Coturnix japonica: one gene and its partner. The protein of the gene in region 1 purifies or fractionates together with the protein of each later gene. This does not show direct contact. Links are inferred from orthologs where the notes say so. Each region holds a gene or a part of one and is shown on either strand. Other genes may lie near its edges.

The links.
Region 2: the proteins of CEP290 (region 1) and CEP97 purify together in Homo sapiens (co-immunoprecipitation; 4 studies listed by BioGRID and IntAct, with this or other methods). This does not show direct contact. The link is inferred for Coturnix japonica from reciprocal best matches to the Homo sapiens genes CEP290 and CEP97.

What each region holds. Positions count from the first base shown.
Region 1 is NC_029516.1:38,920,849-38,924,381, forward strand, and holds the end of CEP290 (centrosomal protein of 290 kDa), read right to left. Parts: intron 2,406-3,533; coding exon 2,332-2,405; intron 2,198-2,331; coding exon 2,094-2,197; intron 1,262-2,093; coding exon 1,158-1,261; intron 879-1,157; coding exon 690-878; 3' UTR 635-689; downstream 1-634. UniProt on the Homo sapiens protein: Involved in early and late steps in cilia formation. Its association with CCP110 is required for inhibition of primary cilia formation by CCP110.
Region 2 is NC_029516.1:76,478,982-76,482,615, reverse strand, and holds part of CEP97 (centrosomal protein of 97 kDa), read right to left. Parts: intron 3,492-3,634; coding exon 3,325-3,491; intron 2,423-3,324; coding exon 2,258-2,422; intron 1,599-2,257; coding exon 1,468-1,598; intron 1,344-1,467; coding exon 599-1,343; intron 1-598. UniProt on the Homo sapiens protein: Acts as a key negative regulator of ciliogenesis in collaboration with CCP110 by capping the mother centriole thereby preventing cilia formation. Required for recruitment of CCP110 to the centrosome.

The DNA of each region.
Region 1 (3,533 bases):
TTATAAGACTGCATCTAAATTTATGAAACATTATTAAGTATTTGAAAAAAGATGGCACAAATAATAAAGTAAGAATGTATAGTGGTTTGAGAGTGGGCTTTTATTTGCGCTACAAAACTATACATCTATATGTATAAAGTATAGAAAATGGAAAAATTCACATAGTAACTGTACATTTATTTACAAAAATACTTCTAGTTTGGCTGCTGTACTGCAAGCATGTTTTCCATTCTCTATTCTTGAATTTTGTACAATTAATGTAAAAATAATTAACGTTGTAAGAACGGAGGTGACCACAACGCTGTCTACTGTTAAAATGCAAGACAGACAGAATAAATTACAGTATTGTTGATCTGGAATTTACCATACATAAAGTGCTTTCAGAGTTTCTGAACTTCTGGTTAGAGTTGAAAACTTGGACTTTTCCTTAAGAACATATATGACTGCAATTACTGTTCAGAATAATATTGCAAACTTGATGGGAGAGGTAAAACTGGTTTTCATTTTGACTGGTGTATGTGAATACTGACTGTAATCCATTGACTTAATCAATTCAGCAAGCTGCAGAATGTACCAAATCATTATGACTTCAATACCTTTTTTTTCTTATCCCGGAATGACAGACAAAACAGTATTCTGTAACTGCCCAAGAATTTATTTTCCTTATCAGTACTAAGGAAACTAAATGTTTAATCAGCAGAACTATTGGCTGGGCTATCCACTTGCACGCCAAACTCTTCAGAAAGCTTCTTTAATCTTTCTTCTAAAAGAATATTTTTTTTTAATTCTTCGTTATAGTTGTATTTCAGATCCTCAATTTCTTCAAAAAAGGAAGGATTGAAGTTTTCCAGTTCTTTTCTCAACTTTTTTGTTTCTTCCTATTACAGAGAACAAAGGGATATCATCTGTAATCAAAACTTAGGAAATACTTGTCTTCAACAGCTTTTTTTCCTTTTTTCTTCAGAGACAAGAGTGTTAGAGAACATGCGTTCTACAACAGACAAATCTACTTGGGAAAATTCACTAACAATATCAGCTTCATAGGCATAACTCTTAGAAATTGACTTGTTTTTGTGTCATTTAGGGTATTAAGTAGGTTCTTCTAACTGACTATAGTTGTGATCATTATCTTTCCCAAGATCATCTCTGCAACTCACCTTCAGCTGCTCTTTCTCCAACTCAGAAGCTTTCAGCTGTGCCTGAAGGTCAGCTACTTCTGTCAGTAACTTATCGTTTTTATCCTTTGAAACTTCACTATTTCCTGCAAAAATCATTGACTTGATAGCAAATTACAGGTAAGTATAATCAATCACATAAATTTGTTACAATAATACTTCAGCTGTTTCAACTGTAAAGAGATGCAGTGTGTAAACTCAGTTCTGATCAACAACCACCAAAATTTCTAATCATCCTGGCTATTCTTTGGTTCTTCCACCAATTAGGTAATGGTGTATTATTCTTGTTACTGAATGCAGTACTCAAATGACCAGTCTATCAGCACATTCCTGAAAAATACATGTGCAGTTTCTCTAAATTAAATACAGAAAATTTGGAAAAGAGAGTTTAAGGATCTTATTAATTATATTCATGATTCAAGAGCATGTGGGTTTGTTTGTTTGTTTTCTTCCTGGTGTTATGGCAGCGTGCTGCTCTACAGCCCTCTTTGCTTTTGCTGTGGCTTTTTCTGACAGCTGCTAATCTTAAATCATTCACAGGGCTGGTATCCTGAAATAGACACTTGTTTCCTAGAAGCCTGGAATCCAAGGCAAGAGGAGTAAGCTGGAAGGTTTCAATGAATGACTGAAGTTTTACAAGCAGTATTTGAGGTTTAGAAAGCATGAAATACTCACTTCTTGGAATGAGAAATCTTGCAAAGATTCCAGCCTTTTGCTCAAAATAATTTTTTACTAATACTAACTTATAAATATCTTAGGTAAATTCACAAACCTTAATTTGCTCCAGTTTATGGTATACTGCCACTAATAAAACCATAGAAATATTTGCATTATATTATTTTGGACACATATTGAGTAAAAATAGTTTCAGGCCTGAACTACACAAAAATTGTTATTTTATGTACTGAAAATGATTACCAGCTGCAGGATCTTCACTTGTGTACATGTGTATCTGGTGCTTATAGTCTTCTATCTGGCGTACTAGTTCTGCTTTTTCTTCCTTTAATTGACTATTGGTTAAACTGGAATATAAAATAATTTTTTAATAATTTAAAAATCTCATCATGTTTAGGAATATGTAATACATAATTAAAATCTGCAGTGGCTTTTAGCTTATCATTCTCATTTCATATATGTTGGCTGAGAAATACAGTACCTTAAAAGCTGAAGCTCCCTGATGAAGCCATGCTCTGTCCTTGCACTTTCAGGAAGGTTGCTGAGAAGCTCAATCTTTTTTTTAAAAAACAAACAAACAAGACATTGTCTTTAAAACAGTATCCACAGATCGTGCATTTCACATGGAGTTAGTTACTTTGACGTAGTTTAATAAAACGAAAGAAATAACACTAATATAGTAGGTGGTGTAGCTAAGTACTAGGTGATCACAAAGAGTGGAAGTAATAACCTACATCCAGTTTCTGCAGTTTCTAATTATCTACAGTACTCTTAAAGCTAGAATGTGCTGCATATTTCATCAAGGGTGGAAAAAAGTATTGAAGAGAATGTTAGGAACATAAATTGAAACATCAGAATGAAAGTTATAACACACTAAAGGTACTGACATGTTTGCATACCTAGGTGTCCAATTTTCTTTGTGTCATTTGAAATGCAAGTAACTGCAATTAAAACTCAAATTAATGTACATTGACTAGAAATGATCTGTAGTCATAAACTAAAAGCAGAGAGGGAGTTAGCCTGTAGACATACCTTTCAGTAGAAGATACAAGAGCAAAAATTTAACGTCTCTTTAATTAGATTTGTGTTTTATTTTAATACAGTGATTATTTATGAACTCTTATAAGGCTACTGTTAGGAATAGATTTTGGTTCTATTATTACCTAAAATTCTTTGACAATAGATCGGTTTCTTTGAATTGGAGTGAACCTTGACCACATCCTTTCATTTGCATTTGAGACAAAACAAACCTGAAATTGTGTTGCCCCAGATAAATGTCACATAATAAAAGAATTTCTCTTAATTTTGCTATTGGTAAGCAGGATCCATCAGTTCAGGAGAAGCTCGTTCATGTTAATTGTGCTGACTTTAAACCAGAAAGTGAAAAGCAAACATAAGCAAATAGTAAAGTAATTGTTTTACAAAACTCCATTCCATGTTCTCTTTCTATTTATTGAATACATTTACTTGGTTAGGGAATGTATGACTTTTGTGTATTCAGCACTTTACTCTGAGAAGTGCCAGTGCAAGACATCCAGGGAAGAAAACCATGTACATCTCAGTAAAGAAGAAGATGGAAGCTAATCCAGGATAATCCACCTATATAGACACAGGCCTACATCTCTGGCATACGTGAAACTCAAAATCTGATCCATCTTTTCAAGTGTACCTTAGACAAATTCA
Region 2 (3,634 bases), about 38 Mb from region 1:
GCTCAGTCTGATTCACAGAACTTCTGTCATTTATGATAGTAAACCAAAGGGATCTGACAAACTGTTCCCAGACTGATCCTGAACGATATTAATATATCCACAATTCCTGTATTACAAGTTGAGAAACTTTGATAACAATCCCCCTAAAACATAGATTCATGTGATCAAAAAACAGAATCGTATTTGAAAATCATAAAAGCAAAGTGAGAATCATTCCTCTGACGGTTAACAGAGGAATGACTCAATACCAACACTTAGACTTTGTAATTGCTAACAAATTAAGTCAAAAAGCTCATAATTTACAACTGCTATTTTGATTATGCAGCACAACATGCATGTCCAAATAATAAAAGAACACAGAAAGTTAATTCTAAACCAGCCTGCTCATAGAGGACATGCAGAGAGCATGAGAAGTTACATGCATGTGTAACCATTATATCTTACAGGAATTCTTCCTCTACCATTATCACTGTTTTATATCATTAATGCTTGGTCCTACTGTGCGCAGTTATAAGAAAACCCATCTATACCATTCCAGAACTACCTTGGAACAATCTCTATCCAGACTTGAAAAATGCACAGTACAAACTCAACTTACTTCTGTATTTCATCAGTTAAGCAAAGTATGTGCTCCTGCATCCTGCTCAGTCGAATTTCATATCGTACTTCCTTGGCTCGGGGATGGTAGTTCCTTGTATAAAACCCCCTCCAGCAGGCTTGAAGCTTGGTAGCTGCTTTAGTCATTCTTTGGAGTTCATCTGCACCTCGATCAACAGCAGCTAAAGAATCCAAATTTTCTCCTGCCACCTTCTCAGTGCAGACTGTTGTAACTCTCAATTCAGTGCCAGGCTGACCATGCAGAAGTTGGTCTTCAGAGGAAGCTGAAGAATTGCCAGCATCAGTCTGGTTAGCTTTTACCAGATCAGAAGATGATAACTGCACCCTCTCCTTCATTTGCTCTTGAGTTTCCGCACTTTCTGTCACTTTGTTGGAGTGCTCTTTTGTAAGCCAAGAACTTTCTTCTTGCTTGTTAACTGTTTCTCTTCTATTAGCATCCTTTGCAAATTCAAGTACAGTACTATCATTATCTTCTAGATCCAAACTGATTCCACATAACTTCGGTTCTGAAGTAGGAGACGCTGGAGACAATCCTGAAGCAACTGGCATGAAAGTAGACTCTGAAGATAACAGGCTGCTATTTAGCTTGTCTTCATCAGTCTGTACGTCTTCAAGGTACAGCTCCTTGCGACAATTTCTTTCATGAAGAAAAGTGTTCTTTACTGCGTAGGAATGATCATCATTCACACTTGGTCCAACCCAGGAATTCTTCTGGATGACACGTTCTAGACAGGCAGAAAGACATTTTCAGAAGTCACACAGTGTTTCAATAAAATACTTCAGTTCATAGAAAATAAATCTGTATTTTATTCCCACAGGTAAGATTATAGGCGCAAATTTACACCTTACCACTTTCAAGTACTATCTGTGGTGGATGAACTGGACTGCTGTGCTCAGAAGTAACGGGCAAAGTCCTGTTGGAAGCAGATGTAGCTGGTCCTTCATTTTGGTTTTGACACATCAGCTGCCTCTGGTGGAGCCTGAGGACAAAGTTTCAACAGATTTTATATTTTAATATTTGTTTTTGGTACATGAGGCATCTGAAATAAACTATCAACTACTTTGAAGTAAACAAGAAATCAAACCGTTTCTAAAACAAGATGCGAGCTATAGGTAGGTGCCAGCCTACTCCTAATAACAGGACTGCTCACAATGTAGGGAACTACACAGGACACGCTATGCTTGTATGCCTAAAGAGTTTGAGGAATGGACTCAGGTAACAGCATTGCCACAAAGCCATTCTTTACAATCTGAAGAAAGAGAAAGGTTAATTCAACCTAGCGAAATTAAGAGATCATGAGGTAGATATTAGAAAATCACTCTGCCTTAAAGATCCTGTGTGTATACGTTTTTTCTTTGTGATAGAAATCTGTGATGGTAGAGTTTATATTAATTACAGTCCTCGTACAAATCACTTTCAATGTTCTACAGAGCACAGACTGCCTCTAGAGTGCCCAGCAAACACTCCTGCTGCTCTCTTGTTCCTCATTCCATTCATCCTTTACCTCCATTACTCTTCCCATCTTTGGCTCTTGCTATTGCTTTAAAACTCTTAAAAGGAAATATCTAATACATAATGAGACAAACAATCGTATTCTCAATTACATTCTCTAACAGTGGAGAAGCAAGAAGCTCTCACCTTTGCTTACTCAGTATTTTTTCCAGCTTGGCATCTTCTTCAGTCTGGAGACCGTATGTAGATATAAGAGGACAAACAGTAGCCAAGTACTGGACTAACTGAACATGTTGCCCAGGTCGATACGATCTTCCTTTACCTTGACTGTAGAGCCATTCTGCTTTCAAACTGTCAGGAAGAGAGTTACTATTAATACATATATAGCATACACCTCATAACTTTTCTTTGAGCCCCGCTCCTCTAAGAGCTACCAAAACACTGAACGTCAACAGTGTCCAGATACCTCCACTGTCATACAGATAGCAGTGATACACACAGTGATACAGTAAAGACTGATGAAAAAACATAATGATACAAGCCTTCTTGGCCACCTGGGCACACTGCTGGCTCATATTCAGCCTACTGTCCATCAGCACACCAAGGTACCTTTCCATCAGGTAGTTTTCCCAACTACTCCTCCCCAAGCCTGTAGGGTTGCCTGGGGTTGTTGTGACCAAAATGCAGGACCCAACACTTGGCCATATCGAAACACATCTAGTTTACCTTGGCCCATCGATCCAGTCTATCCAGGTCCTTCTGTAGTGCCTTTCCTCCCTCGGGCAGATCAACACTCCCTCCCAACTTCGTGTCATCTGCGAACTTACTGATGATGCGCTCAATCCTCTCATCAAGATTATTAATAAATATATTGAATAGAAGCGGCCCCAGTTCCAAGTCCTGGGGGACACTGCTCGTGAGTGGCCACCAACTGGATTTAACTCCATTGAGCACAACTCTTTGGTCCCTGCCATCCAGCCAGTGTTTCACCCAGTAGAGCGTACACCCACCCAAACCATGGGCAGCCAGCTGCTCCACGAGGATGTTGTGCGGGACAGTGTCAAAGGCCTTACTGAAGCCCAAGTAGACCACACTGACAGCATTACCCTCATTCATTAAGCAGGTCACCCTGTCATAGAATTAAATCAGGTTTGTCATGTGGGATCTACCATTCACAAACCCATTCTGACTGAGCCTGATCCCCTGCTTGACCTTTAACTGGTCACTTGTTAACTTTAGAAGTATCACATTACCTTTCTTTCTGAGAAACCATATATCCATCAAGAACTTTAAGGTTGAGACACCAGCTGACTATATATGGCCTGTAGTCAAAGCCAGGGACTGAAGGTGTGGCCATCACGCAAGGATTGTTCATTATCGACAGCTGTTCCAGTTGAGGAAGAGAAGCCAGGAAAGAAACCTTGAGAAAATAAGACATATTTATTAACTGAAGAGAACCATTAGCTGCTTACAGAATGGAACAATTTGCCTAATTACAGCAGTACATCTCAAAAAACAACAACATTACAATTGCATTGAAAATCACACTTGCTTGTTAATCTT